2 linked regions of the Pelodiscus sinensis genome follow. The protein of the gene in region 1 binds, or shares a complex with, the protein of each later gene. Links are inferred from orthologs where the notes say so. Each region holds a gene or a part of one and is shown on either strand. Other genes may lie near its edges.

Region 1 (16,211 bases):
AAAGCAGAACCCCATCAAACAATGATGGGAACGTAAGGATGTTTTTAATAATGGATTTCCTTTTGATTTTCCCCTCATTAAGCTGCATTCCTCAAAGCTCCACCACACCATTAGCTGCTCAGTTATATGGTAATGGAAACCATATAAACACCTGCAGAGGCAGGATGTGCTTCTACAGTGAAATGCCACAGTGAGAAATTAAAAAAAGAATCTCTCATCTCCTATTTCTGAAAGTCCTACATAAGCTGACTCCCCAGCGCTTTCAGATACATTTCACACTGTCCAATCACCAGCATAATCGTCAGTCTTCAGAATTCTTGTACTATGCCATCTGGTTGCAGTCTCCAGTAGGGATGTGAAGAACTAGTCAACTATTTGATAAGCAAATGCTTATCGGAGAGTCGACATGCTAGTTGACTAGTCGTTTCCCCTCTCCCCCTCTTGCTGTTGGGGTGTAACTAGGCTGCACGTGGCATTTCAAAGCAGCAGCGCTGCATGGAGCCCAGGATCAGCTGGGGAGTCCCCTGCTGACCCAGGGCTCCGTGTGGCGCTACTGCCTTGAAACACCACGGGGAGCCCAGCCTCAGGCTCCCTGCAGCATTTCAAAGCGGCAGCGCTGTGTGGAGCCCAAGATAAGCTGGAGTCCCCCGCTGATCTGGGGCTCCACCCAGCACTTTCGCCTTTAAAGTGTAGCAACAGTTGTTGCTACACTTCAGAAGAGGAATCGCCCTATCGACTAATCAAATAGTCGATATTTAACATCCTTAGTCTCCGGCTGCTTCCCAAGAGCAGAAGCTGCTCCATACCCTTGTTGTAATAGTAGTACCAGAGCTCACAGATTTGAGTCCTACTCACAGGGGCAACCTTTGGAGGCACAAATGACTCAATATCTTTCTTCGTGATTCTGCCATCTGGTCCAGTACCTGGTGGAGGTATACATGAAACATAAGAGGTTTTCATGCAATGCCATATTAGGAACATGCAAATAAAAATGGAACCCGCTCCCTTTCCAATACAGTCACTTAACTGGAAGGAAATTGACAGCAAAGCACACATCTAAGGGCAAAAGAGACTTGGATAAGAACGGAAATGGTAATTCACCTTTCACTTGTGCAATGTCGATTCCTCTTTCTGCTGCCAATTTCTTCGCCACGGGGCTAATTATTATTCTTCCTTTATGTACAGGAGCCCCAGGTGGGGAGACTGCTGGAGCTGAAGGGACAGTGGGCTGGAGAGGAGGAGCTGCCACCTTAAGAGAGTTGGTTAGACACAGTCGTTAGTTGCACAGATATTCAGCTAAAGTCTTACACGTGAGAAAGCAAAGAGAACGTGGGCCTCTGGTTACCAGAAACCAACCAGAGAATGTTCATAAATGAGCAATAAAAGTGATCAGGGCTGGAGGGGCTGATTTAGGAGATTAAGGAAGAGAGTAAGAGCTAGAGCAGCAAAACGGTGGCCAGAATCAGAGGTGGGGAACACTACAAGGATAAGGAAGAATTATTATTTAGGAAGGTACAGATTACATTTTCTCATACTGTCTTCTATCAGAAAGCTTTTCGGGTGTACAACTCATTGGGCTGTGGAATCATCTCCCAGAGGAAGGGGCAGTAAGTAATTTACATCCTCATCATTTGGGGTGTTTAAAACTAGAACAGGCAGTAGCCCGGAGAACAGGTGTAGGGAACAACCACCATCAGTTCCCAGAAGATAGACTGACATATTGTATCCATCTCATGTTATCCTTCCACTCATGATCCCACAAACACGTGGATTGGAGTTCCATCTTCAAAAGTCCAGCAGGATTATTCAGGTCAGATTATGCTAATGGTTCCCTACTTCTCTTCCCTCTCAGAGATCCTCTTTACCGGAGTGGGGGGTGGTGCTTGTGGTTTGATGTCAGCTACTCCAGTCTCCCTATAGTCAGCAAATGCTGGAATATCAGACTCCTTCTCCACAATGATGCAGAGTGCCGTTCCTAAGGGCACATCCCTTGTTCCTTCAGAAACCAGAATTTTTGCCAGGTAACCTTCTTCCTGCACTTCAAAGCCTTAAAAGAAAAAAAAATGACTGATGAATGCTGGGTAAGATCAAACAGCCAGAAAAAGCTGGAATTGGGGCCTCACAACCTTACCACAGTGGCACAATGAAGAGTTCTAGGTGATGCTTTCAGTCTCCTCCAGTAACTAAACTCCTGCTATTTGTAATGGATCTTTAAAACAAAACTGAACGAGGAGAAGTCTCCACGTAAGGCAGGTCTAACACAAGAGGATTGGTGCAAAGCTGGGAGCTGCTTTTAACAGCTCTATCAACTAGAACTACAAGAGGACAAGAAATAGCTTTAAATAGCTCCTTTTACATTACACCAAGGCCAGCTGCCCCTTCCAGTGGGAAAAGAGTCTGTTTTGAAGCTCTACTATGAATCACTCTCAAGAGGTTACAGAACAATCTACTGTCCCTCTTAGGGCTAAAAATTGCTCACCTATCGTGGCTTTGTCTGTTTCAATTTCTGCCAGTAAGTCTCCTTCACTCAGTTTCTCACCAACCTTCTTCTCCCACCTTTGAACCGTACCCATCGTCATTGTAGGCGAGAGAGCCGGGAGAAGAATCTACGGAGTCAAAAGAATGCGAGTGTATCACAACAGACAACTGAAAGTCAACAGGAGCATGTAACCCCAACAAGCAAGTTACCCTTGAGAATGAGCTAGGGATTAAGGATGTCAAGGACGAGTCGACTAGTTACTTTCCTCCCCCACCGACAGAAGCAGCGAAGAGATGTGTGTGTGTGGTGGAGTATTTCAAAGGGGCAGCTCTGCAGAGCCAAGCCTGGGCTCAGATGTGCGAGGATGCCCCTTTGACATGCCGAGGCTGTGTTCAAAGAGGAGCACCACACAGCTGATCCCCAGCTCAGCTGTGTGTCGCTGCCCCTTTCAAACACTGAGGCGGCATTTCAAAGGAGCGCTGTGGAGCCCAAGATCAGTGAGGAGTCCCCAGCTGATCCCAGGCTCCCCAGCATTTCCACAGAACCTGGGGTCAGTCCCCAGCTGATTCCAGGTTCCACTGAAATGCCACGGGGAGCCCGGGATCAGCTGGGGATTCTGCAGCTGACCTCGGGCTCTACAGCGCCCCTTTGAAATGCCGCCACGGGGATTCTTTTACATTTCAAAGCTGGCACGCCGTGTGCAGCCTGGAGTCAGTGGACTTTCTGCTGGCCCCAGGCTGCACAAGGAGGAATGCGGAAGTGCCTATCGACTAGTCAATGGAAATTCTATTGACTACTCGACTAGTCAATTAACCGCAATTTAACATCCTTACTAGGGATGTGAATGGTTAACTGGTAAACATCACCCCTCCCACATAACTGGGACCCAGCAGAGTAACAGAGGGTGTAATGAAACTCCTAAATCCCTTTTGTAACGTTTAGTGGCCTACAGAAATCACATGATTTCAGCAAGCCACAAACCAAAGTTAGAGGCCTAGACTTCCTAAACAATGAATGGGAAGAAATGCACTTTAGAAAGTTATCCGCAAAAGCCAGCACACTAGACTGAGAACAACGTAAGCCAGTCAGTAGGGATGTTAAATAATTAACTGGTAATCAGAGGTAAATCGGCCCTTGCCAGTGAACTCCGATGGTGGCCAGCCATGCCAGGCCAGATCAGCCCCAGAATTTGACCAGTTAACCATTTTAACATCCCTACCAGCCAATGCCAACAACAGGGGAGTGTGCCTCTCTCATACAGATAAGCACTTGTGCGCAGGCTGCAGGGAAGCACCTATCTCAGCTAGTGACCGTGAAGGGGAACCAGCCACCTAAGACGCTTCTTATGGGAATGAGTTCAGCGCCTGTCTCATTCCACACAGAAACATCTGGAGGATGAGGTGGTGGTGGGGCCCCACACCTTATAACTTTCAGCCCAGCAACTGAGTGTTCCCCTAGGACGTGGGAGATCAAAGTTCAATCCTCACCCTCTGTCATGATCATGAGGGATGGCCAGCAGCCTGGGGATTCAGGAGTTAACTGTATCTAGCCAGGCAGCAGTCAGCCAATAGAAATGCAGATAGGGATTTCAAACTGAGACAAAGGAATTTTTGGTTTTTCCCTCCTTTCTTTTTTATTAAGCTGGTATTAGTTAATTTGTGTGTCCTGGTTTTACTTCAGGGCTGAGATTTCCCAAGTGATCTCTTCCGTGGTTTTCTTACCATTACTTGGGTGGTGGCAGCGGATTTTTATCCCCAAAATCTAGGTTTTTGGGATTTTGGGGGGGAAGTTTTATATCCAAGCCTGGAAAGAGAAGGTTTTGGGGTATTTTTGTGGGTCCCCACTTCTGCATTCATTGTACCAGAGTGGGGAATCAACCCTGTCACCCTCCCACTCTAATTAAGAGGGTGAGAAAGGGTTAGAACAGGGATCTCCCACCTCTCCAGAGCACACTCAAAACACTGAGCAATGGGATATTCTGATGTGGGGCTCCCTCATTCTCTCCTCTGAAGTTGTTCCATTGTGGATCAATAATGAACGTGTAGCTGGAGCAGGGAGATTGCACCCAGGGTCTCCCCTCTCCCGGGGCGTGTCCTAAGCACTGGATTACATAATTATTCTCTCTCCCATTCTAGTCCAATGACTAGGTATTTATCCTCAGGAGAACAGTCACTGGGCCAGAGACAGAGCGTGGCTTCATGTGGCTTGTTGGGTGCCTTCATGCCTTGCTCCACATCTATGTCGTTAGGCCCTCTGCTAGCCACATTTAACCAGTCAATATCATTGCCTCCTAATAAGGAGAGAATTATGTGCACATGGGAGCTTTTTATAGCCTGTGGGAATTGGAATCCCAGGGGGAGCAAATGACTTTCCTCAGATGATACCAGATGCCCTATAAGTTTTCAAAATATAACAGATCAGGGTCCCCCCACTGAAGCCCATTTTAAATCTGCAGAATAGATCAACTGACCCACACTCCTGCAGCTAGAGCCAGTGAGACCTATGCTTTGTATCCACATCACAGTGCCTAGGATATAACAGTTTTAGAGAGGCAGAAGAGACACCGACAAATGTTAAGGAATAATTCACTGAGGATATGGATATGCTTTACCTGCATGTGAGGAGGGTAAGAGCTTCCTGGAGCCTGCACAGAAGGCTGAGCTGGTGTTGGGGGAGCTGCTGCTGGAGGGGGAGGCACTGAGGCTGCTGGGACAGCAGATGCTATGGAATCCAAGGTAAAATTCTTAAAGGCATCAATAAACTCAGGCCTAGAACAGGAATGAAAGAAGATAATACAGAAAAAAATTCTTCATCAAGAGCACCCAGCCTGCCAGGTTCCCAAAACAGTATTCTAGTGAGATGTGATCAATCCACTTACTTTTCAACTGTGATGCATATTACAGACCCAATGGGAACATCCCTTGTCCCTTCTGATACCAGGATCTTGGCCAAGTAACATTCTTCCATACTCTCAAACCCCACCGTCGCTTTGTCCGTTTCCACCTTTGCAGAAAGAGAATGATCTTGTAATGGGGCAGGGGCGGGGGGAGCCTTCACATCAGCTCAGAATCATGAAGTTTGATGTTTGTGGGTTAGAGGTGAAGATTCCTGGTGCATAAAGCCATGGTGAGAATTAGCTCATCTGGCAGCAGCAACTTGGTTGAAAAGGAAAAGACACTGTAGAGCAAATAAGGTTCAATCGCTCTCATAAGGAGGTAGAAACAGCAGGCAACGCGGAGAGGCAGTGGGGTTGTGGCTGTTTTTAATTCCTTCAATAAAAAGGCTTCAGAAGAATATTTTTATTATTTGTATTTCATTGTACCTAGGTGCCCCAGACATTGATCAAAACCCCACTGTGCCAGGTGCCATATATATATAAAAAAACCTAGAGAGTCCTTCCTTTCCCAACACAGGTGTCTGGGGTGAGGACTCTCTTTGGGTTTTGTATACGTATAACTTGTTTTATATAAGGTGCTTGTTTGAAAATTTAACAATTGGCTACTAGAAGCTGGCATTATGGGCTGATGAGAGGTGGGAGCCAAACTTACAATGCTGAATCAGAGATAAGAAGTAAGGATGAAGTCAGAACATTTACATCTGCTTGGGGTGACCTGAGACAAAATCCGGGGCATGTACTTAGTATGGGGGCAATTTTAGAAATGATAGCGTGTCTTGTCCTCTAGTGATGGTGTAGCTTCCCATCCCACCAGAAAGTGAGAGGCCCTAAGGGAGATCTCATCCACAAGAACTGTCCCTTGGTGCCAATGTTCCCTTAAAGCTTTTCCATCCACGTGCGGAATTTTTCTATCAATATGTGGAATAAAGTTTATGTACACCACGATATGTGGAAATGTGCACCACCAGTAGAAACAAAAAACCTAACTGTGGGCACTCTGCTAATCAGCTGGGAAGTACTGGAATCTCTCCTGAGCAGCTGCACAAGTGCACAGCTTACAGGGAACACTGCTTGGTGTCCCATAACTGGTCCTCCTGGTCGCGAGTAACCTCTCCACAGTACCTCTGCAATCAGATCTCCCTCGCTGATCTTTTCCCCTTCCTTCTTCTCCCACCGAGCGATAGTCCCCATCTGCATTGTAGGGGAAAGAGACGGCAAAGCCACCTGCAAAAGAACAACCCAGTCACAGTAAAATTACCATGTTTTACAAGCAGCCCTGAAACAACCTTCCACCAAGAAAGGTGAGAGGCCAGTTCATGCTCTCGTATCCAGAAACAATCAAGGTGTCAACCATAAAGTAACCATAAAGCTAATGCAACAATATTTATTCAGAGCCCTTCTTCCCAATATGCCTCATAACTGGGACAGACTCGCCGCACTCATCCCCTTGAGCGCTAAAGGGCAGCTAATGACGCGGTGCAAGGCAGGGGGACAAGGGCAAATCCCAGTATCGGGAGATCCATTCTCAGCGAGGGCAGATTACTGGGCTCTCAGCAAGCGGCTTCTAGGGTGATCGGGGTCACGCCCTGCTGGTTGGGGGGCCTAGGAAGAGTCGGACCCTGCTCCAAGGCCTGGCGGGCGAGTCTGTGGGGTGGGGGGGACGTTTCAGTGGGGGGGTGCAGTGGGGGTTCAGGGAGCAGCCGCAGGGTCGCGGAGGACACGAGCCCAGCGGGGGGGGGGAGCAAGGGGGTGACCCCGGCCGGGGGAGGCTGGGAGCGGCCCCCACAGCCCCGGGGGTTCGAGTCCCGGCCCCTCACCTTCTGGTGGGGCGGGAGGCTGCACCACCGCCGGGGGGCGGGGCGGGGCCAGGGCTCCCTCGGCGGCAGCAGCAGCCCCGCGGGCCCGGGCCCCGGTTCCAGGCTGCTCCGGCCCCGCGCGGGCCCCAGGCTGCCCCCGCTCAGGGCGCGGGCCCCCCGGCCCGGGCTCGCTCCCGCCCCGCCAGGCACCCGCCGCGGGGCCGCGCACGGGGCCAGGCGCCGCGCGATCACGCGCCACATGCTGCAGCGGAGCCGGGACCCGCCGGCAGCTCCGGCAATGACCTCGCTCCCCTCCGACTCCGGGCGCCCACCGCGCTTTACGGCAGCGACAGTGTCGCGAGGAGCCGCAAAGCGCAGAGGCCCTCCCCGTGCCAGCGTCCTGGGGAGTGAGAGGGGTGGAGGGAGGAGCTGGGGGCAGGCAGGGAGGGGGTGGAGGGAGGAGTAGGAGAGGTGGAGGGGGGCTGGGAGCAGGGGGGTGGAGTGAGGGGGTTGGGGGGAGGGAGTTGGAGGGGGACTGGGAGAAGGGGGGTGGAGGGAGGAGTAGGGGGTTGGGGGGAGGGAGTAGGAGAGGTGGAGGGGGGCTGGGAGAAGGGGGTGGAGTGAGGGGGTTGGGGGGAGGGAGTTGGAGGGGGACTGGGAGAAGGGGGGTGGAGGGAGGAGTAGGGGGTTGGGGGGAGGGAGTAGGAGGGTGGAAGGAGGGCTGGAGGGAGGTGGAGGGGGGCTGGGAGCAAAGGGTTTTGGTGGCAAGGTGGGGAGAAGATGGGGGATCAGTAGGGTCTGTGGAGTCTGGGGGGGTTATAGCGGGGGTGGAGGTGCAGTTTGGGGGAATAACTGGATAAAAGACAGCACAGAGATGGGGGGCATAGGATAGAACAAAGGATCTGATGCAGGGTAGGAGTAGGGAAAAATCACAGACACTTGGGGGGTCTCTTCTGTTCTATTCACTCCCATTGGTGCCAAGACCGCTCCGCAGTTGGGCACTGGGAAGGTGAAAGGTTACAGGAAGCTAAATACTGAACCCAGATGTGCTGATTCAGTGCATCCTTCTGCAGCTGTCAACCAAGTCCCTCCCTGGTCACCACCGTGCTGCCCCTGTGGGGAATGTAGCTCCTTTTATGATGCTTGTTTTATGACTCACAGGCAGATGCTGTGATTCTTGTATGTACTGATGAAGGAAAAATGCTACACATACTATGAACATGGTTGAGTTTAAACTCATGCAGACCCGCAGAATGCCCTAGGAGGGAGGGAGTTGTGAGATATAAAAGTCAGGTTTTGTCATCACTTGCCAGGTGAGGAACATGAGGTTGTTCCCTAGCTGGGAAGTTGGCTTTAGAGCACAATCAAACCTGTACGTCTGTTCTGCTTAGGCCCCCAGCAGCAGGCCACCAACTTCAGAAATAGTGCCAGGTTGGTCTCAAGCACAGGTTTTAGCATCAAGGTCTTAATTTTTATTATTCAGGGTGTCTCTGCCTCAGTTTCCCCGTTGGTTAAATGTTCCAATCCTTCAGCTACCCTTAGGGCATGTCTCCGCTGGGGAGTTATTTTGAAATAACTCCCCTTATTTCGAAATAAGGTATTCGAAATAATGGGCTTATTATTTTGAAATAACTACTCCTGCTTGTGAAGAGGAATAAGCTTATTTTGAAATAGTTATTTTGGAAGTTATTATTTCACAACTTATCTTGAAATAATGTGATAGTGTAAACATAGCCTCAGTGATTTCCTGGGTGGAGAGGAAACATTAACATCTGTAAAGTGCTTTGAAATCCTTGATTGGCAAGTTCTCTCTCTACACAGATGTGTATTTTTGTTATTATTACTGTTCTAGGGCTTCTAAATTATTTAGCAAGAACTGTTTTCAGCACCCAGAAGTAGCCTCTACAGTGCTATCACCATCAGTAAACCCAGCCACTGCACCCTGCATGCACAAACATGAAAGTCTGTGGCTATAGGAGTACGTGCTCACAAGTTTCAGTGCACTGAGCCCAAAAGCTATTACACTGCATTTCATTTTAAATTATATGAGCAATTTGGTCTGGGTCAGGGGTTAGTTGTAATTTTAAAATATCATCTCAAAGGCTCACTTTTATTTAAAAATTAATACAAATCTTGGAAGTAAGGAAGCAACTGATGAGCCCAGAGCTGTTTAGTATACTTGGATCCAATCTGCTCTTCAAGGTGAGGTTCAAGTTGTCGTCTCTGAAGATCTTGGGAACCAGATGGAAAAGACCCACTAGTGCAAGATTGTCCCTTCTGCACTGTATTCTGTTCCTAGCACCTAGCTAACAGGCCTGTACACATAAGCATTGTACACCGATCACAAATGAGAAGCTTCAGTTCAAAGCCACTGCCCTCCCCACATAAATGGATTGATTAGACACCATTTGCAAACTACAGTTTATTGAGATTTTTTTTCTTGGTCCAAAAATTCAAAGTACATCCAGTCACATATATCCAGCTCCTAGATATACCAATAAACCTCAGTTCTCACTCTGTTGGAGGACATGCAAATTGAGAGAAACTAACTTTCCAAAGAGTGATGAATGCAAACTTTTATAGTTTATAAGAAAATATAACTTTATATATAGCATGTGTGTTAAATAACCAAGTTACAACGATAAGGAAACCAGAAAGTAGCTTTGAAGAAAGTCAGGCAGAAATAAACTTATCTAGAATCAAAGGAAAACATAAAGACCAAGTCCAATGTCTGATCTGATTTCATATGCTCTGCTGTAAATCGGGATTAACTCAATTTAAGTGAATGGTGTTATGCTATGTAAAACTGGTGTAAGTGAGAGGAAAAGTGTTCCGTGTATACCTACTCTTTTCCAGGATTATCTTGTTCCTCTTTATTTTGTTAACATCTTTTCCAGACCTAATTCATAGGCCTTTCAGCTCATTTATACAGTGACAGGACATCAAGAGAAAACTGCCATGTCATTACAGAACAAAGCTGAACCTAAGTGGTGCAGGTGTTTAAGCCTCTGAGGACAGCAGTCCTGGGATGGGATCATGGCATGACCCTGGCCTTCAATTATAATATGAGAAAGGGAATAGTTCTGACCTCAGGCTCTCTCATATAAATCGCAGTGACTTTGGCGGGTGTTGAATATGCATATCCAAAGTCAGAGTTCTGCCAAAACTTTTCAAGGGTTTGAACTCAGTGTAGTAACAATCTGTTCTGTCACAGAGGGAACAAGGGTTCTGTTCTAGTATGTAAGGCTACGTCTACACTGGCACCCTTTTCCGGAAATGCTTAAAACGGAACAGTTTTCCGTTATAAGTATTTCCGGAAAAAGCGTGTCTACATTGGCAGGATGCTTTTCCGGAAAAGCACTTTTTCCGGAAAAGCGTCTGTGCAAATGTAGACGCGCTTTTCAGCAAAAAAGCCCCGATTGTCATTTTCGCAATCGGGACTTTTTTGCGGAAAAGAAATCTGTGCTGTCTACACTGGCCCTTTTCCGGAACAGTTTTCCGGAAAAAGACTTTTGCCCGAACGGGAGTAGCATAGTTTTTCCGGAAAAGCACTGATGATTTTACAGTAGATTGTCAGTGCTTTTCCGGAAATTCAAGGGGCCAGTGTAGACAGCTGGCAAGTTATTCCGGAAAAGTAGCTGATTTTCCGGAACAAGTGGCCAGTGTAGACACAGCCTAAGTGTTTTTAGTACTGATGAAGTGCTTGGATGACAGTGCTACAGAATTAAATCTACAGAACATTTGTGGGTAGTGCATGTTTCCTTCTCTGTGCTGCCTCCAAATGTACTTCGCCCATGCCCTGAAGAAAACACAGGACAGTAAGTGGCTCCAAGGCTTATTCAGTCCTTGGCCCCTCTGCTATGATTGGCTACAGGAGATTCGATGGTGACAGTGGTTATGGTGATGTGAAACCACTAAGAACAGGACTGAGATTGCCAACTTATTCCATCTAGACCATCAGCCAGCGATTGCTTGAGTGGTGATCAGAGTCACTACTGAGCAAAACTGAACTGAAACAGATGACCTACAAGTGAGATGTACTGTCGCAATAGCAATTATGTCAGCCATCGACTCACCATAGATAACTCCAACACTGCTCATCTCTTAAAAGCAGAGAGGGATACAGGACGGATATGTGGAGGCCTTTTGAAAAATTACTGTTTTAATTATTTCCATAAAATGGACAAGTCTCACCTAAAACACACAACTCTTACTGAAATTAAGCAGACTAGTAAAACTTGAATTAAAAGTCATTTAAGAGAAATTGCAATTGAAATGCAACAATGCATTTCTGTATGATAAACTCATGCAGTCTTACAGCGACTTACTAAAACACATGCAATAGGGAAACCAGTGATTTTCCAGGGAGGAAGAGAATTTCTGTTTCTTTTCAGGACTGATACTGCTTTTCTCCCATTGAGGAACTTTCCCAAATGCTGATGTTTCTGCTGCTGTTTGTAAAGACAAGTATGTGTAAATCAGCCCACGAACTGGAACAGATCAATAATGGTCTACCATGTTTTACCAGTGGGGTCAGAAAGCTATCCAAGCCCTTCCTGCATACAGAGGAAGTAATAAGACAAACTATGTGTAATTCCTGTTTATACAAGAAACAGCTGGTAAAATATAAAACCAATAGGAACTAGTTGTACTTTTGTAGTAAAATAAAGCTAGTCATTGAACACACTTTGTGTGCGGTGTTAACAGGAGACTGTATAAAACACAGAGACATTCTCTAGAAAATGAGTAAACTACAGCACAGTATTGTGGAAATATACAGAAAGCACTTGCACTGGTATAAAAATATACACCTCAGACAATGATGTAAACTGGTACAAAATAATTCCAATAAACAGGAATGAGTTTACAAAAGGTCACGTTACTATAAAATAATAAAACCACGTTTTCTTCGTCTCCCAAGCTCATGCGCACAACTCAGACAAGCAGGCAGCCCAACAAAGGGGCACGTGTACCAAAGGTGAACAGACTGAGGCTGGACTCACTGTTTGACCTTTTCAGTCAATAGTGCCTGTTTGGTGCAGACTGCAGCCAGCCTTGCAGAAACCTGACTGCCTGGCAGTAGGAAAGCAAAGCCCATCTCCCGAAGGGTATATCTAGACTGCAATAAAATACCCATGGTTAGCTTGTGTCAGCTGACTTGGGTTCAGGCTACAGGGCTATAAAATTGCATTATAGCTGTTTGGGCTCATTCTGGATTCAGAGCTTGGGCTCCAGCCTGATTTAGAGGTTTACACGGCAAGCTTATAGCCCCACGCACCCTAACAGATATTGTAGCATGTGTTCTCCAACTCACCATCTTCTACTCCATTAGATGCCAGAGAAAAAGCATGCTGGGAACTGGGATGGTACTGATGTTGCTGAGTCACAACGTCTATCCTACAGGTTTGGTTATTTGCTTAATGGCCTTGTCAGTCAGTGAACATCAAGTGCATGGTGACGCCTGCACAGAGAAAGCTGGAAAAAGGAATACAGATGCACCAACAGAATAGACTCTGTCACTTCATCTCTGACGAAACAGTCCTGCTTGTTCCCTGGGAGAGTAGATGAGATCTTCTGTCTGCCCTGCTGGACATATGGTAAGGGAAGGGATGGTAATAGCTACAGGGAAAAGGAGCTGGCAAAAGGAGAAGCAAAAGTACCTCATCACCTCTGCTGGGAAGTTAGGAAGGTTCCTGCTTCCTCCTCTGAAACAAAAATCCATTGGCTGTTAAGTAAGCACCTGGTTACCAAAGAGTTCCAGGGCAATAAAGGGGCTTAGATCTGACTGCAAGTTGGTAGGCAAACAGCAGAAGCAACCCTAGGAAGTGGAAGCCTGCATCTGGGAAGAAAGACAAGGTTGATCTTTGCTTTGGTACTGCTCAGCACAATCCACAGACTTCTTTCACTGTCAAGTTCCTGGTGCTCTTTGTGTGGAGAGGCTGCAGAGTTCACTGGCGGGAGCGCTGCCCCTTCGGCCCCATACCTCAGGAATGGATTTGGTCAGACCTTCTGGCAGAAACTAGAATCTAGCAGCATTTTCTGATCCATGAGGGCAGAACTTATTGTTTCAGGGATCAGGGCAGGTTTGTATAATACTGAATGTGTCAAATCAGAGCTGAAACCTGCAGACCCCAAACAGCAGCAGGCGTTTCAGGGGGTGGGGGAACCAGGAGAATGGAGAAACACGTCATTAAGGCCTCCAGGGTTTTATTGACAGGACAAAGCAAGATGAGTCTTTCCCACCAACCTGTAAATTCAGTCTTACAACACTGTTTGCATTTGGCCATGGAAAGCTAGACGCCAGGCATCCTCGCACACAAAAAAGTGTTTTACCCGTTGTTTGAGAGAAGTCCTCTCTTTTGGCAGCTTGAATTGGATGTGTCCCAGCTTATGCTCTTTTTGGTCATTCTCTCTGAGCAGTGCAGCCAGTGACAGGTCCCCACAAAAACAAGACCCACAAGTCCGATTAGTTTTCCCCATGATCCTCTTCCACCCAGGCTACAATTTTCCCTTCCCAACCAGGAATGATGTCATCATCATGGAACACCTATAAAAAGGCAGAGAGAGAATCGGGTCACTTCTGGAGATAGACACTGCTTTGTTACATCTGCATAGCATGAGAGACAGAGGTACAGGTTGAACATCCCTAGGCCGGCACCCTTGGGACCGGACTGGTGCCAAACCAGAAAATTTGCTGAATGTCATGAGGTCAATATAGTCTGGCAGCATTACTAACAATTCCACTGCTTGCTGGGCTCTTAGAAGACATATTGGGGGTAAATCAGAGCTAAATAACAGCACAGAACAAAATACAGGACTATGTAGCACTTTAAAGACTAACAAGATGGTTTATTAGATGATGAGCTTTCGTGGGCCAGACCCACTTCCTCAGATCAAATAATGGAAGAAAATAGTCACAACCATATATACCAAAGGATACAATTTAAAAAAAATGAACACACATGAACTGAGAGCCAGGACTGGTGGCTGTAAACAAACTTTATGGGACTGCGGGAAACTTGGCCACACCCATGATAAGTGGATATCCAGCTCACTACAATCATTCCAGACCATTGATGTTGCTGGACCAGAGATTATTAGACTAGAGAGATTGAACCTGTTTTATTATACCAAACAATACAAATAACTGGCACTTACACAGCTCAGTAAGGCTATATCTAGACTGCAGGCTTCTTTCAGAAGCCGCTTTTCTGGAGGAGATCTTCCAAAAAAAAAAACTTCTTCTGAAAGAAAGCATCCACATAGAATAAGCACATCGAAAAAGTGATGTGCTTTTTTGACAGATAGCATTCATACAGTGTGGATGCTATCTCACATTTAAGCTGTGATTACTATGGACGGAGTGGCCACCAGGGCACCTGTGCTTTTTCCTCTTACCTCTTTTTTCGAAAGAACTCCCTCTTCCCCATCCACACACGCCTTTTTCCGAAAGAGTTCTTTTGGAAAAAGGCTTCTTCCTCGTAGAAAGAGGTTTACCAATATCAGAACAAATCCACTGTTCTTTCAGTTTTTTTTTTTTCAAAAGAACGTGATTGCAGTGTGGATGTAAGTGAAGTATTTCCGGAAAAACGGCTGTTTCTGAAAAAAACCTCTGCAGAGTAGACATACTCTAAGTTCCCAACATGCTTTAAAAACAGCTTGCTCCTCCCCCTCAAAGAAAAATCGAGGATTATTATCCCAATTTTTCTGACAGGCTATGTGAGGTGCAGAGAAGGATCGTGATTTTCTCAAGGTCCACAGGGAGGGAAGGCAGCATCAGAGCTGGGATTAAAACTTGAGAACACCTGGCTCCCAGTCAAGTGCTCAGAATGCTAGATTGTCTCTGGAGAAACTGGCACTGATGTATTCTTAACAGACGTTTCTGAGGGAAGGGAGCCCCTGAAGGGTTACTGTGTGGAGAAGGAAGAGGACCTTTGCTGCATGAAAACAGCAAATTACAAACCAAGAACCACATTCAGCTGTGGCATAAATAGGCTCTTTGACCTCAACAGGAATTGCAGCACTTATGCCAGAGCTGACTCTGGCCCCAAGTATTTAGGATATTTTAGAGAAAGCCCATCTCTACCAGCTTGGCTCACAACCGTGGGCCACAGAGCCACAACTGGAACAAATGCAGCAATGGCATAGATGGAGAAATGGATCAAATCCCGTTGGCCTGTCCCATTCAGGAGACTTCTCTGACATCAGTAAGATGCAAACAGCCCAACAATTTGATATAGGACAGTGCTACCCAAAGAGCTGGGTGCTGATCTTGCAGGTTGCAACTCAGGTGTCACATTGGCTCTACTTCCTCCAAATCAAGCTATGAACAGAGTTTGGAAGGATAAACTGAGTGTCTGCTTTGTTTGGAAGACTCTCTTTCTGCTACAGAACGTAGGAGACCATCTGATAGTTGCCTTTTAAGGATACAATTTGGAATCTGCATCCCCCAAATAGTACGGTCACAGGGAGCATCTCTGGAATCAGCTGGCACTGTGAAGGCGGACCCTGCAAATCACCATCCACCACTTGTGCTGCTTTGCGATCACATGAAAGTCAGTGCTTTGAGTGGGGCCTGAAGACATCTGCTTTTGGCTCTTTACTTGGGGCCTGTCATCCCATAAAGTGTAGCTCTGGAAACGGTAGCTTTGTAGCAAGTTAGAGATTTCACTCACATGGGATGTGAATCTGGCAGAGATTTCCAGGCTGTTGCTTGTGCTGTGATCTCACACACAAACTTAGATTATGAGAGAGCTGCTACTAAAGGGGTCAAAGATACCTCCTCCTTGACTGTGCCAAATTCGGGATCCAGGGCTTTGAAATGATACCGGTGGGTTCCTTCCCGATCGATAGCTGCCTTGAAGTCCTTCAGAGTCACCTCACCTAACCTGCAAAACAAGAGTTAAGAGCAATCTTTGCTGACACGTTCTGCCACAGGATTAAGATCAAGAGCTTGGACACAGCTATCATATGGCACATTGAACATCGGCACCAGCCTGGATATTGTGGCACAATGGACAGTACACTGAAGGGAGCCAGA
Region 2 (16,574 bases), on another chromosome or scaffold:
ATAAAATTTTTTATCAGGTTTGCATAAAACTGTGTGGACTAACATTAATTATTTATTAACTGTATCCCATATCAGCTTTTTCATTATTTGCCTGAGACTGATGTGAAGCTAACCAGTCTATGGTTATGTGGGTCATACTCCTTTTTCAAAAACTGATATATTAACACTCTTCCTTAGTTACATCTTCCTCAGTTACTGCTGAACTGGAATGCACTTTCACATGGCAAAACTAACCACACTGCCCGTTTCCAAATATAGAACAGAAACACCTGTTGAATATTTCTGCCTATCTGCATAATTAAATTTTACCATTTCCCTCTAGTAACGGGCTTATACCAGTGCCAGGATTTCTCTTCTTTCTAATATACTTTAAAAATTCTTTCTTATTGTTCTTAGCCAAGCTTGGATTTTTCTCTGGAGATCTTTAGCATCTCTCAATATTCCACTCTTCATAACTTCTAATATATCATTATTACTAATCATTTCCCTTATTTTCATTTTTATAGATGCTTTTTAATTTCAAAAGCTCTTTTTCCTTTGCCATTGAGCCAGGAAGAGCTTGGAGTCAAATTTGCCCTCTCTTAATTATGAAATTGTTATTTTGGGCCATCCAATAAACTCCTAATCTTCATTCACATTTCTCTGTCTAAACTTTTCCATCAAGTAAATTTTGCTCATATTTTTCCTAAATGTTGGGATATCGGCTCTTCTGAAGCTGAGAAAGTTTGTGTACACAGGCAGTCCCCGACTTACGCGGATCCGACTTATGTCGGATCCACACTTACGAACGGGGCTCTCTCGCCCCGGAGTTCACAGGCAGCGGTCAGCCACCTTGACATCTGGGGCGAGAAAAGCTGCTCCCGGTGCCCCTGGTCTGCTGGGGACCGTCTCCAGCAGACCAGGGGCATCGGGAGCAAAGCAGCAGCCCCGGCGGGTTCCCGCGCTTCTGAGGCTTTGCCAGAGCAAAGCCTCAGAAGCGCGGGACCCCGCCACGGCTGCGGGTTTGCTCACGGTGCCCCTGGTCTGCTGGGGACCATCTCCAGCAGACCAGGGGCACCGGGAGCAAAGCGGGTCCCGCGCCAGAGCAAAGCCTCAGAGGCGAGGCACCCCCCAGCAGGTGTGCCCCCCCCAGGAGACCAGGCTTTTGTTGTGGACCCTGGGGCAGAGCAGCTGGGGTGCTGCTGGTTGGTCCCGCAGCGCCGCTCTGGGCACTACTGGACCAACCCGGCAGCACCCCAGCCCTAAAAGATAACTGTTGCTCTGCCCCGGGCTTCCTGGAATCAGCGGCTGATCAGTTTCAGCAGCAGCTGACTTGGGGTTCTTAAGTTGAATCTGTATGTAAGTCAGAACTGGCGGTCAGTTTCAGCAGGAGCTGAATCTGGACGCCAGTTCCGACTTACATACAGATTCAACTTAAGAACAAACCTACAGTCCGACTCTATCTTGTACGTAACCCGGGGACTGCCTGTATATTCATAAATAAATAAAAACTGGTTAGACATGTCCCATTTGCCCACATTGTATGCACTCAGGCCAAGATCACTGGTCTCTGGTCAACCACCAACTTCCAGTCCAGAGATTAATCCATCTTTCTTCTTCAGGTATAGTCCCTTATGGGTGCCCCTCTTGAGGTGTACATGCATCCCACAGGCCTTTCAGCTGATGTTTTTAGCAGCAACCTCCATTCAGTCCACATATACCCCCAGCTATCCTAATGCCCTGTACTGAAAGTAATACAGGACTGCAATGGACTCTCATAGTTTATTTGCCCACATCAGCATGAGCCAAGGCATCTGGCAGCTATGCTTGCAATCTTAAAAGTTAACTAACTTTTAATATGTTTTTATGTGTATAGTTTATACACTTATTTCCTTAGTTAAATACATTTAATCTAGTTAATATTACTTGAAACCTGGTGGGATGATTCCCAGGGTTGAAATGTTAAAACCAGGGGTCCTAAACGGAAAGATTGAGTGTATGAAAGAGAAGGGAGTTTGTCTCAGTTGATGCTTATGCCATCAATCGTACCTGTTTGATGGTCACTGACAACCTGAAAGAAAACTGTCTAGACAATATGCTAAGAGATAAAGCACATGATGGCATATTAGGTGGAAACTGCTATATATCACCAAATTACCCTACAAAACAGGATAAAAGGCTTCTTAGGCACCTTTCGATAATGTGGGGGAGGGAGGGAGCTTTTTGATTATGAAAGACAGAAATTTCGTGCTGTCAATACTAAATCATCCTTGGAAATTCTAAATATTATGGTTGACAATTTCCTAACCCAAAAAATGTTGCATCCAACGAAGAGAAATTCCATATTGGACCTTGTCTTGATAGATAAAGAGAAACTAATCAGAGAAGTAAAATGTAATGGTAATTTAGGTACAAGTGATTACTATTTGATCACAGTTATGTGGAAAGAAAATGAAATCAAGACCAGTAATATATGTACTTTATAGAAATATAGATCCATATTAATCCTGACTGAACTATGATTTTAAACTGAGTTTAGATATACACATGAGAAATAGGCTAAAAGCATGTGTCCAAAAAGAAGGAAATAATAAGAAAGGAGGATTATTTGTATTAAACTTATAATTATTCTTGAAATACCAGTATTAAATTGTTTACGGTTAGGGATGAGATCACAGAACTACAAGAAATATGAGTAATTGGGTCACATGTGCAATAAATAATTGGTTTGTTTAGTTTAATAAAAGAAATACTTAGTTCACTAGTTAGGAAGAAATGAGAGAAAATGAGATAAGAAAGCCTTGAAAAAAAAAGAGGCCCAGTCATTAATCTTGTCTTGACCAGGGCATAGAACAGGGCTTCATTCGTCCTTAGTTAAGGTCCAATTACCAGCAATGAAATCTGTTGTTTGTTACATTGGTTTTCTATGTTTTTGTCAGAGCTTTCCCTAACCCCTCCTGAGACACACCAAATGCTTATCAGATATGTCAACATACTAGTTGACTAGTCACTTCCCCACCCATACGGAGTGCATAAAAAAAAAGAGGCAGTGGGGAGGGGGTGGGGGGGCGGTCAGCTGCCGTTTTGCTCCAGGCTCCACACGGCATTTCAAAGCAGCAGCGCCGTGTGGAGCCCAGGGACCCTGGGTTCCATGTGGCACTGCTTCTTGGAAACGCCACAGGGAGCACAGAGCCAGCAGAGGACTATATGAGTCCCCTGCTGGCCCCGTGCTCCCTGCAGCGCTTTCGCCTTTGAAATGTAGCAACAGCCCTGCAATCCCCACTGATATGGCCCCCAACTGAGAAGGAAAAAAGACACTCCCCACAATCCCCTCGCCAGAGCCTAGTGGGGCCCAAGCTAGTAGACTGTGTGCTCCAACCCCACAGACTCCCCAATGTTGTGGGGGAGTCCTGAGCCTCAGGGGCCGCATCCAAACCCCAGGCCTTATGTTCCCCACTCCTGGTGTAGACTAAGCCTTACAGAGCTGCAGCGGCACTTAGTGAACCTCTCCCATCAGCTTCAGCTTAGGTACTCTACCTCCCTGAGAGCCAGTAGCTATGTCAACAAAAGAAGCCATCCCATCATATAGCTGTCTACATTAGGAATTTGGTCAGCATAACCAGATTGCTTATGGATGTGAAAATCCTGAGCAACATAGTCATACCAATATAAGTTTGCAGCGTAGACCAGGACAAAGACAAGCACCCAAAGAATATTTAAAAAAAAAAAAAAAACATGCACACACACACACCCCACACAGGTGAGAATACATTTAACTTAAGAAATTCAAAGGTACACAAGACAACATTGGGTTAAAAACTGTTATTTTACCACACACACAGTGTAATACATAAGAAGAGGAAGTACTTTCAAAGTCTAATTTTCAATATTTTTGCATGCCTGATGGTCTAAGGATATTAGAGAGCAAAGATGGGCGAGGTACAAATGAGCTCTCAGAGGAAAATTATAAAATATAAAAACACCGTAACTCCAGTAGGCAAACACTTTTCACAAAGCCATCACTATACATCTGTCCCATAAGTCTTCATCTTCAAAGGAAATCTACACAACACTTTCAAAAGACAATCTTGGGAGCTTAAATTCATATCTTTGCTAGATATTAAAAATCATGGACTGAATAGAAACTGCATTTATGGCTTACTATAATCTGTAAACCACCCACAATCTCCCCCATCCATTTGCTTCCCCCCACCTCTCTCTCCTTATGAGTGAGGGGTTTTAATGTGCTATTTACCACACATTTCAAGGGAAATTACTTATACAGAACAATCTTTTTCTCCTTGTATTTGAGACACAAGGTGGGACAGACAGTATCTTTTGTAGAACCAACTACTGTTGGTGAGTGAGACAAGCTTTCCTATCTTAAACAGAGCTCTTCTTCATGTCAACTTGTATTTTAAGTGATATTCTGAGACTATGTCTACACTATAGCAGCCAAAGTGACACAGCTGCATTAATACAACTGCATCACTATAGCACTTCTGGTGAAGACACACAACACTATGCCTACACTAGCCTTTATGTCCGTATAACATTGTTCATGGATTCAAAAAAATACTCCACTGAGCAACATAAGTCATAGTGCTATGTTGCTCAGTGGAGTATTTCTGGGTTGCCTGAAGAGGAAATCCAAGAAAGGTCTAAAAGAAGTAGCTAAGGAACTACTGTATTGGACCAATACCTTTTGTTTGAGTTGCAAACACACAGCACAAAAATGTTTAAGTTCCAACAAAACATTTTTGATTTTAAGGTTAATTCATTCTGTTCCCAATTCCATTTACACAAACCTAATTCTGGGGTTATTATGAGTACCTGACAGTTTCCCTTCAAATAATTAATATGTCTATCACAGGACATTTCAGCTGCTAACAGATACAGCAGGGGCTATTTTAAAAATAAATCATCAAATCAGAAAAAATGGTTTTGAACTTTATTTTACACAGTGAAGAATGCCTAAAACATTTTCTTTCAGCCTTCCCTTATTTTTTTATGTTGGAAATCAAGCCTAGAAAATGCCAGAAAGACTATCAGGAGAACATGAGAAGAATCAAAGGAGTGAAAGTTGTCTAACTCTGTACTGCAGAAAATCCAATCTAAAGTAGGTGGCCGTACCTTAGGTCAAGCTACAGTGAGGGAGGGGGGGTATCGATGGGAGAAACTCTCCTGTCAATTTCCTAGACTACTAGAACTGGAAGAGACCTTGAGGGGTCATCAAGTCCAGTTCCCTGCCCTCACTGCAGGATTAAGCACCATCTTCATCCCTGAAAGATGTTTATCTAACCTGCTCTTAAATCCATTTTTCTCGTTGAAAGTAGAGTACAGGAGTTGCCTGCAGAGTGATCTGCCCTCAATTTGGTGGGTCTTCACTATCATAAGCTGCGGCTTATGACAACATATCGCCAGAATTCCTGAAAATCCTTGGCCCCCATGCTCAGCCTTAGTTTGTGCAGTTCTTTAACACAGTCAACAATGAAGACAAGCTACCAGAGATATGGTGCATTCCAAAAGACATTGGCCTCCCAAAGCCTGGTAAGGACCCTAGTCAAGCATCAAGCTATCATCCCATTTCACTACTGTTGGCATGCTTAAAGACACTGGAGCACTTGGCCCTCTGGCACATTTTACCTGAAGTGGAGAGAATTTTGAGCTCTGACCAAACTGGGATTCCCCAAGGCCATAGCATACACGACCAAGTACTCGCATTGCCCACATTAATTGAAAACGGCTTCCAGAAAACCTTGAAAACAGGCACTGTTTTCACTGACTCAACAGTACAATATGGTATGGCACGCTGGCCTCCTCGTGAAAGTATCACACACAGATCCTACTATCTTGGATCATGGGCGTCACTTAACTGTTCCTCCACCATAGGCAGTTCAGAGTCCGCATGGAGGAGAAAATGAATGCTTGGAGACCACAGACCAATGCAATGGGGGTGCAGCACTTCGTGCAAACACAGTTACTCTGTAGGGCTTGCAGTGAGACTGCTCTCACCTGGAGGAGGCTCACTCCAGAGCTAACTCAAGAGCCCTGCAGGGAAGACAACTCTAGTCACAGAAGAAGCGGCCTCCCTCTCTCACGCAGCCCATTTGCTCCCAGCCAGCCCCTCAGCCTGGACCCCTCCAGCTCCGAAGGCTCCTCACTTGCGATACCAGGCCCCTGCAGCCCCATGGCGGGGCAGGCCACTGAGCACTTCGGTTACTCCCAGCTCCCGCCTCTCCCCCTCCACGCAGCCGGGCAGGGTTACCCCAGGGGGCCTGGCCGGGCAGACTCGCCCAGAGCAGCCAGGGCAAGGGCCCCAGCTTGACAGGGGAGCCTGCTCGGGCCTCCCCCGGCGGCAGCCCCTGCGCAGGAGAGCGGCCTGCTCGCCGCCAGCGGGGCCGGGCGCCTCCTCACGCCCGTGTCCCTGAGAGCCGCCCCGCTCCGCCCCGGACCGACGGACGGACACACGCGCGGGGGGGGGGGGGGAGCTGCGCCGCCCCCCCCCCGGCGCTGCCGCCACTCACCGAAGTCGAGGAACTGCTTGATGGAGAGCGGCGAGGGGGAGAAGCGCGAGTAGCGCTCGATCTGCTTGGGCACCGGGCTCCGCAGCAGCGCCCCGCACAGCCGCATGGTGCGCGCGCCGCGCCCGCCCGGCCTAGCGAGCGGCGCCCCCCCGCATGCCGGGCACCTGCGAGGCCGCCGCCGCCGCCGCCTGTCACTGGGGGCGGGGCGGGGAGCGGCAGCACCTGACGCGCGCGCAAGTCTGTAGCCGCCAGAGCCCGGGCACTGCGCAGCCGTCGCCCGAGCGCATGCGCCAGATACTCCCCCTTGTCCTCCTCCTCCCCCCACTTGACTTACCCCCCCCCCCCCAGCTGGCTGGGGCGGGGCAGGGCTCGTAGTGGGGCAAGTGAGGTTGTCAAAGGGGGGGGCCCTCATCCAGGGCAGGGCAACATCTTGCCTCTCCCTCTTGGCACAGGGAGAGACTGTCACACACACACACACACACTCACACACACACACTCTGCCCCCCAGCACCTCCCATGTGGCCCTCCTGGCACAGAGCAACACCTTCCATGTGCCTTCTGGCACAGGCAGAGACTGTCAGTCGCTCACACACTCACTCCCCATGGTGTCCTTCCTGGCACAAGGACAGAGACTGCCACACACAAAGCAACACCTTCCATGTAGCCCTCCTTGCATAGCGACTGTAACACGCCGCAACAACTTCCATGTCTCTTCTGGCAGAGGGGGAGAGACACACACAGAGAAACACCCTTTATGTCTCTCCTGGGGCAAGGTCAGAGACTGGCATGATCCCGTCTTTGCCTCCCCCACAGAAGGGAAAATACTGCCATAGGCCCAGCAACCACTCTCACACTCACGCTAGGGGCACCACTAAATGAAAATACACCCACCCAACAAAATACTCTTCCTTTTACCCCCCTCCATAGACTCACAGGAGAACAGCCTCTACCACACCCTTTCTCTCCACACTGGGAAACAGGTGGCATGTTCACTGAAAAAAAAGCAACCAAAGATGCGTTTAGATGGCTAATGTAAAATCCCAGTTGGAATAAAGCACTGTTACCTTTACCTTGATGTAAGCTAGTTGAGGTCAACACTAAGTGGCAGTGCAGGTTGATCTCAACTAGCTGCATCCAAGTAAAAACTGTATTTCATCTCCATTGATCTTGATTCTGGAGCTAGGTGTCTCAATGTAAAATGAACTTCTTTTGCAGTGACAAAGTCAGAGACTTTAAGGGTCTTGTGACCTGCAGGCAATGATGTATGTTTAACCCATGTTAAGTAACCAGTGTTAGAATTCTAATGTAGATCAGGCAAGTTGTAGTATTTAACCCATATTAGCTGATAAAGGAAAACCTTCACATTCCCCACTAGGTATGCCCCCTTGACTAGCTTAGATGGGTTGGATTTTAACATGGTTTAAACAGCTTTTTTTCTAATGAAGTCACAGCCTAACTCATCTAGTAATACTGCCTAGCCCCATAGGTGGGGACACATACAGTAATATCCACCTAAAAGACTATAATACAGCAACATCTACTTTTATGGGGAACAGAAAAGCGGGTGACTTAACCTAGAATGACACTGTTAACAGCAACTCCATAGGTAAAACTGGTATCTGAGGAATTAGGTGCCACACAGTTGGGGATCGTTTTATCTCAGAGGTTAGCAGCAGTGAATTAGGAAGGAAGGGGCAATGCACTTTTATAAGGGTTGGAAAGTTATGAATGTAGGTGGCTGTATTAGTCTGGATATGGTAATTAGAGGCTAAATTTAGCCTCAAAGTAAACATAAATTTCAGGGTGGGAAGCAAGGGACCAAAAGGCTTGAGACACTCCTATGGGGAGGAAAGGGGCTATAGAGAGGAGGTTGGACTCACCTATTAAATGAAATGTTGGAACCTGTGCCTGGAATTTCGGGTGAACCCATTCCTTCACAATAAAGCATAATTTATTGATGTGCAGGGAGAGGATTGCTCCATTGCCAGTCTGATACACTCTTTAGAGCCCACATGTCTAAGGAATATTGTCAATGAATGCTGACACAAATGAAGCATTATTGTTATTATGTTATAGTAGCACTTGAATGCTCCAACAGTGATCAGGGTCTCATTGTGGTAGGCACTGTATAAACACATCATAAGAGAACATTCCTGTTGCAAATTGCAAATACCCTCCACCTAAATAGGTAAGACAGAAAGGGGATGGAAAGAGAAAGAAAGGAAAAATCATGTGCCAATGGTTGCAAAGCATCAGTAGCAGAGCTGGGATAGAACCTGGAAGTATCCTGAGTAGTGTCACATCCACCAAACCAAGCTGTCTATGCATTAGCCTAAGGCCATTCAAATATTTTTAAAAGTTTCTTTCTTTTTTCTTTTTGAAAAGCCGAATCCCACAGCTGTCACTGACTTCAGAGTCAAAATGTCTCCCCAAATCTTAGTGTGCCTACAATAATTTTCTAAGAAATAGTTGTTTCAAAGGTAGCTTGTATCTTTAACCATTTCACAACTTTGCATTTTGTGTTATCTCTGCCTAGACTTCAGAATTCATATTTTTTCTAGCCATTGCTACTTCTAGGTTATTTTATTATTACTATCATTATTATTATTATTACCAAGGTATATTTATATCTCTTGGTATTGTTTGAGTTTTCATGTCTGAAAGCAGTGTTGGGAGAGACTTACATGCTACGTCTACACTGGCCCCTTTTCTGAAGGGGCATGTAAATTTCACGAGTCGTCGTAGGGAAATCCGCGGGGGATTTAAATATCCCCCGCGGCATTTAAATAAAAATGTCCGCCGCTTTTTTCCGGCTTTTAAAAAAGCCGGAAAAGAGCGTCTAGACTGGCCCCGATCCTCCGGAAAAAGTGCCCTTTTCCGGAGGCTCTTATTCCTACTTCGAAGTAGGAATAAGAGCCTCCGGAAAAGGGCACTTTTTCCGGAGGATCGGGGCCAGTCTAGACGCTCTTTTCCGGCTTTTTTAAAAGCCGGAAAAAAGCGGCGGACATTTTTATTTAAATGCCGCGGGGGATATTTAAATCCCCCGTGGATTTCCCTACGACGACTGCTAAAATTTACATTCCCCTTCCGGAAAAGGGGCCAGTGTAGACGTAGCCAGACTGTGTGGCTGAGGAAAACAAAAAGGCAAGGGAAACTGATATAGTGACAGGGAAATGTCATAATAATAAATGTAACCAATGGAGAAACTTCTACTCAAACCAGGTATGTTTTATGCACTGAACTTGGACTCCAGTCATGTAAACGTATATATATATATATAATTAACTGTGAGCATATGTATGTTTGAAGGATCAAGGCCATATTGCACACCTGGGTATACTAGATAAATAGTCTTACAGAGAATGGGGACTTGATACTGCTTCATATGAGGTAATTACAATATTACTGTTTTTCTTTGCTAGTCAGATAAAAACAGATTTATTGTATGGAAGTGGGTATTCAAATTTCAAAAATATTGCTTTCTCTGTCTACTCACTCCTTCAGATGAGTGGAGAAAAAGGAAAAATCTCCCAGTTTAAAGCAGAAAAAGAAGTGGGGGCGCAGTCAATTGTAGTGCCATTGCTAAATGAGGCTAACTGAGTGGGCTGTAAGTGTCCCATACTTAGCTTTTGATGTCATTTGGGTGTTGATTATAATGGCCCATCCAGTTCATGTCTTTGTTCAGTCCCCGAGAGATAGTGTCAAATTTGCAAATGAAGGCCCATTCCCCTATCTCTCTCTCTAGTTGGTTCCTGAAATTCATTTCTAGAAGAATGGCTACTTTTAAATCCATTAATGAGTGCCCAGGCAGGTTAAAATGTTCCCTTAGATTTCTGTAGTGTTTTTTCCCCTCTCTCTTCTTTTTCTGCTTTACATTGGGAGATTTTTTTCTTTTTCTCCACTCATCTGAAGAAGTGGGCTTTGCCCATAAAGGCTCGTGACATATATTGTTAGTCTTAGGACTACTTGTTTTTTCAAAAGTTGCAGACCAACACAGCTACCGCTCGGAAACTGCATTTTACTGAGCAGTTTCAGGGAGTAGCCGAGTTAGTCTGTTATAGAAAAAAAAAACAACAAAAGATGAAAAATGGGGCACAGAGAAGGTAAGACCAACAATTTTCAAACTTGAGTAAATGAAGGTAAGCACCTGATTATATTTAAGCATCTACAACAAAGTGGCCTTATTTTTAGAGATGCTGAGGCCTCAAAGTTCAGACTGAAGTCACTGGAAGCTTTGACTTAGATTTAGATGCCTAAGTTTAGACATCCACATTTGAAAATGTTGTCCTACATGATTTGACAAAAGGCCACAGAGGGTGTCAGTTTCAGAGCAGGGATTATTGCTCTGCCCAGTCCTCTGGCAATGTTGAGCTGAATCTCCTTTTATCCATAGGTCATGTCTGCCATGCCGCAGAGGACCTCACTCAGTCACAGACAGCTGTCTGGTAAGTGACTTTTCAATAGTACCAGTGTTATCATAGAATCATAGAATAATAGGACTGGAAGGGACCTCAAGAGGTCATCGAGTCCAGCCCCCCGCCCTCAAGGCTACAATGTTGTTGTAGCCACATTAGCCCAGGATATTAGAGAGACAAGGTGAATGAGGTAATATCTTTTATTAGACCAATTTCTGTTAGTGAGAAAGATGAGCTCTCAGGTTTACAGGGAGCTCTTCTTCCAGTCTGGGCAATATATTTGGAATGTCACAGCTAAACACAAGGTGGCCCAGATCGTTTAGCACATACATATTTCAAGGGACAATTCAAGGGAAAGTGGTCCATAAAGGGTATGTCTACACTGCGGAGTTTTTTTTTGGAAAACAGTTGTTTTTCCGAAAAAACTTACACTGCAAGAGCTCTTTAGGAAAAAGGTGTGTGTGGATGGGGAAGAGGGAGCTCTTTCGAAAGAAGGGGAAAGAGGAAAAAGCACAGGTGCCCTGGTGGCCACTCCATCCATAGTAATCACAGCTTAAATGCGAGATGGACACTATCTTTCAAAAAAGCAGATCACTTTTTCAATGCGTTTTTGCTGTGTAGATGCTCTCTTTTGAAAGAAGGTTTTCCAGAAGATCTCTTCTGGAAAAGCTCCTTCGGAAAGAAGCCTGCAGTCTAGACGTAGCCTTACCGTTAAAAGGTCCCCGCAACTATGGAGGATGCAGAGGGATTTGCCTCACAGTGGGAGTTCAGTGCATTCCATAACAGATATGAGAATACAGAATCATCTGTTGATGTCTAAGTTCACTTACTTTGTAAAGATTGGTTTTTGCCTGTTTTTCAGGTAGACTGTTACAACCAAAATATTCAGAAGTACCCAAGTTTTGGTGCCCAGTTTGAATCACCAAAGGCCTGAGTTTTCAAAAGTTTGGAGGCTCCACCACTCCCATTGACTTCAATGGCCACTTTTGAAAATCTGATTACAAGCTGAACCTCCATTGTCCTACAAGGGGAGGTCAAGGCGCCCTACCCAGATATAGGGTTCTGCTCCCGGCTGGAACTGCACTCCCTGCCGCTGCCTCCAGCCTCACACCTTTCCAGTCCTGGCCAGGACTGCACCTCCCACAGCACCAGCCCGGGCTGCGCACCTAGTGGCTGGTCCCACTGACTCCAGCCCTGGCTGGGGCTGCACTCTCTCCTGCCAGCCCCAGCCAGGACTGTGCTCCTGACCACTGGCCCTGCTGCCTCCAGCCCCGGCTGGGGCTGCGCTCCCCCACCACACCAGCCCCAACCAAGGCTGTGTTACGGACTGTGCCAACCTCAGCCGGAACTGTGCTCCCCACCTCACCAGCCTCTGAGGGGCTGCGCTACTGGCTGCTAACCCCACTGCCTCTAGCTCCAGCTGGGGCTGTGTTCCTTGCCACCTGCCCTGACCAGGGCTGCACTCCCCACTGTGCCAGCCTTGCTCGGGATGAGCTCCCCACCACCAGCCCAGCTTGAGCTGCACTTGTGAAATTGGGCAGCTGGGGCTCTCTGTTCCAGTGATATCCATGGTCCTGCCAGACCACGGATGTTGCCAGACCAGAGAGTCCTAGATTTTAGAGGTTCAATCTGTACTTTTTTTTTTCTATTTTTATGCTTTAGATATTTTGATACTTTTATAGGATACTATGCACTTAATAGATAAAGATCTTTTTATCAGGCTCTCACACATATCACTAATCTTTATTCATGTGAGACTTACGATGAAATAACTCAGATTTAGTCACACATGCTCACTTTTTATAATCTTTTGTGGACTGCTGCTCATTAGAAATTGTTCGATTAGCTCTGTCGGTCAGGTGTGGAAAATCCACCCCCCAAAATACCACAGTTAAGCCAACCAGAGTCCCCATGTAGATTGACCTAGCTATCTCCCCTTCCAGAGGATTACCTACACCAACAGGAAAATTGAGGTAGTTTCTACACTGAAGTGTTGCAGCAATGGGCTACAGCAGCACAGCTGTGCCTCTGTAATATTTTAAGTGTAGGTGAGTCCTTTTTTTTCTATTTCACATCCTGTGTTTCCAAAAGTTTGGTTTTTACAGTGAATATTTTGTCCAACTGAAATTAGTTAATTCCATTCTTAATAACCATTCAGAATATTAAATCACTGTTCCTTATAATCACTCTAAGAAAACTAATTTTTCATCATAATAGAAAATCTGGGATTATTATTTTACAAAATGACAGTAAAACAGAGTACAGAGAAACAGGTACGAATATAGTTATTTACACTTCAGATGCACAAATCACATCCATTCATAGTGCTATTTCCTCAACAATAATGTGTAGAAACAAGGGAGAAACACAGAACCATAAATTAAGTCAGTGGACAGAAGGAGGATATATTGGGATCACTTTTTATACATGAAATGAGTAAGGGACAAGGGCCTTTAAACTTTCCCAACCTTAAAAAAAAATTTGGGTTTGAGTCATAGTTTCCCCTAAGGGGCACGGCTGCATGGCCATGCACAAAAAATTACCTGCCCGCCCACCTCCTTTGCAGAGAATGCCAATGGAAGGTGAGGTGCAGCTGCTGCTGCTGCTGCTGTTACAGCTGGGGGGGTGGGGAAGGCTCATCTGGGAATCTCTTTGATGTCCCCGACTCCCCAGGGCTGCGGCCAAGGCCACATAATAACTGCCTAGCTGCTCCGGGGGCTGTGGCAGAGGCTCCTCCACCTTACAGAGCCGGCCCCAGATTATGTGGCCGTGCCATGGCTCCTTTGCCTGCCGGGGCCAGGACTGCATGGCTGTCCACCACCAGAGCCAGGGCCACGTAGTGGCAGCGGTGCCAGCTGCTCCTCAAGTGGCCAGGGCCTCCCCCAGAAGTAGCTGGGAAGCCACCATGCAGTTGTGGCCCCAGCTTCAGACCTGGGGAAGGGCTGGAGCTGGGCTAGGCCTGCATGGTAGCTGCTCCCAGGGCAGGCCACGGGGCAGCTGCCAGGCCTGGAGCTGGGGCTGCAGTGTGGCTGCTCCAGGGGCTGGGCCATGGTGTGTTATGGGGGTGCAGGGGAGCTGCTGCTGGAACAGGCTGCCATCACTGGCAGAGCAGCGCTGGAGACACTAGGCCTTCATCCCAGCCCTTGAGTGAGTTGCCTTTCTCTTCTGCCTTGGAGGTGGAGGCAGCTTTCCCAAGGGGAAGGTGCATGGCGGCACTGCTCAGCGCTCTGGGTCTGCTGCAGCCCACACAGAACTACCTGCCGCTTGTCCTGCTGCTGCTCTGCCATCCTGTGCAGACAGCAACAACATGGCTCAGACACTGGGGAGGGGGATGATGTTGACTTCCACAGCAGTGTGCCACAGGATCCCATCACGGCTGTGGAGAAGGGAAAGGCACACACCCTGCCCCAAATACTGCCTGGTTGTGCCAGTTGGTTGTGCTGGTGGGTGTCCATGCTATTTGTGCAGCATTATACAGTGTGGCCATTTTGCACTCCAGTGGCACAAAGGTACCCTAAAGGCAGTGATGACCCTTCTCTACTTGGGTCTTATCCCCAGTGTAGGTAGGGGACTCCCTAGCTTTCTTAGACCCAATGAAATGGCTCTGTGGTGCCCTCCCCCCCATAAAGCTCCCGTTTTGGGCATTTTGTAGGAAATCTAGAGCAGTCGCACTGTGCTTATTCTTGGCCTCCTATGACTTCTATGGAACTATGAGCAATGCAGACTTAGGGTAGGTCTACACAACAGGGCTATTTCTGGATACTGGAAGTATCCCAGAATATCTACCCCACATCTTTTAAACACGCCTGTTATTTTTTGAAATAACGGGTGTGCTATTTCAGCATCCCTATAGCCCTTGTTCCACGAGGGTTAAGGGATGTGTTGAAATAGCCTGTTATTTCGAAATTTGGCATTGTGTAGATGCCCCAAATTTTGAAATAAGCTATTTTGAAATACAATCAAAATAAGATACACAATTTGCGTAGTGCAAATTGCATATCTTATTTTGAGTTTAGGGTGCTGTGTAGATGCACCATTACAGTAGCCCTGAGGCTAGTTTAACATTCTGTACAACAGCATCTGGACTTGCTTCTGGCAAGATGGAAAATATAGAAGGCACAAAGGGGACTTAGATACATCTTTCACTCTTTCAGCATTCCTGCACTCATGCGCTGTGGTCATGCCTTAGTGTCCTTACTTTTCTGCTGGATCTCATACCTCTGATGTTGCTAGCAAACCCTCCAATATCCTTCTGGTGTTTGAATTCTAACAGTAATCATAGAATCACAGGACTGGAAGGAAGTTCATCTGCTCTACATCTAGTTGGGGAAGAGCCTGGGAGAGAGCTATAAACAGAGGATGTTGGCTACTCAGAAATTTGCAGTATTAATTTTCTTTTTATTTGACTTCATATTAAATAAACATTTAAAATCATGAACCTTGTTAATTATCCTATTTCAGTATTCTTTCTTCCATAACATTTTACAAAATATATATAAGATATTTTTAATAACTTGGGTTCCACAGTGGCACACATCCAAACAAGTGCAAATTACCTCACTATTGGTGCACAAGACAAAACTCACTCCACTCACGGATGGAAAATCTTAGTGGGAACACAGGTTTGGATCTTATTTTTACTCATTTTGCCCATGCCTAGAGTTCATTGGGATAAGTTTGAATGTGCTATTCCTTGTGTTGTTCAATAGCCTAACAGTGCACAGAGATGGGTACTTCACATGATATTTCTAGGCTTATCTCATTGTTCCAGCTTCAGAGATTTTTGTAATCCAATATTGTATCAAACATTTACTGAATTCATTTCATTATCCCCACCGGCTCGTCTTTCTCTAATAGATGTTTAATTATAGCCTGGAAGTTATCAAGTTTGACCTGATCATTTTATTAACCTGTGTTGCTTCTTATTCACTGGGTTCCTCATGCCAAACTCACTAGTGTTTACAGATAGCTTAGTTAGGGTATGTCTACACTACCCCGCTAGTTCGAACTAGCGGGGTAGTGTAGACATACCCTTAGTTATTTGTTTTAGATTTTACATGGGACTAAAATTAAACTCACTGCCTCTGTTTTTAAAGCTTTTACAGTATTATTGTGACCAGTAATTGCTCTTAAACTATTTCTTCCAAGTGTTATTGGGTTTTTCCTCTTGTTTGTTTCACATGTTCATTTTACATTGCAAATTTGCAAGTTCACCACAGAAAAACTTCCTGTGTTGGAACATAAGTTAAATATTATCTTTAACCTTTCTGTGATAACAAGACCTTCAAATATACTATTGCACCTTCTGCTGATACTCTGGCATGAACATAATACTTTCTGACAGATTCTGAGGGCACTGGATATTTCTCCATACCGAAGTGTACAATAAGTATTTTAATACAAATTTTATTTGGTTGTCTGTAACATTTCACAAACTAATGGTTTGGGTCCGCCATTTTAAAGCAGTTCTACAGACCTGTCTCATCATCTAGTCCAAAATCCGGGCTCCTAATCCACTCAGTGGCAAAATTCAAATGAAAGTATAAATGTCTGTAGTGGAATTCAAGATGAATCCCAAACCAAAACTTTCAGATATTTCTATTCACCCATATATTTCTATCTCCACCGCCAGCTACATATACCACTCTCATTA

Evidence for each region.
Region 2: the proteins of DLAT (region 1) and PDK3 are in contact, whole or in part, in a crystal structure (PDB 1Y8N), measured with the Homo sapiens proteins. The link is inferred for Pelodiscus sinensis from reciprocal best matches to the Homo sapiens genes DLAT and PDK3. Residues at the interface, in NP_001922.2 of Homo sapiens: Ala225, Leu226, Ser227, Pro228, Thr229, Glu248, Gly249, Lys259, Ala260, Ile262, Glu265; in NP_005382.1 of Homo sapiens: Arg21, Phe22, Ser23, Pro24, Ser25, Pro26, Leu27, Phe48, Lys51, Val55, Asn373, Lys374, Ser375, Arg378.

Annotation. Positions count from the first base shown.
Region 1 is NC_134736.1:6,909,517-6,925,727, reverse strand, and holds the start of DLAT (dihydrolipoyllysine-residue acetyltransferase component of pyruvate dehydrogenase complex, mitochondrial), read right to left. Parts: upstream 7,512-16,211; 5' UTR 7,433-7,511; coding exon 7,193-7,432; intron 6,600-7,192; coding exon 6,498-6,599; intron 5,483-6,497; coding exon 5,358-5,482; intron 5,248-5,357; coding exon 5,091-5,247; intron 2,607-5,090; coding exon 2,480-2,606; intron 2,048-2,479; coding exon 1,866-2,047; intron 1,250-1,865; coding exon 1,102-1,249; intron 924-1,101; coding exon 856-923; intron 1-855. Other genes in the region: DIXDC1 (dixin), read right to left, coding at 13,638-13,718, 15,951-16,059.
Region 2 is NC_134711.1:205,234,200-205,250,773, forward strand, and holds the start of PDK3 (pyruvate dehydrogenase kinase, isozyme 3), read right to left. Parts: upstream 6,766-16,574; 5' UTR 6,613-6,765; coding exon 6,507-6,612; intron 1-6,506. UniProt on the Homo sapiens protein: Inhibits pyruvate dehydrogenase activity by phosphorylation of the E1 subunit PDHA1, and thereby regulates glucose metabolism and aerobic respiration. Can also phosphorylate PDHA2.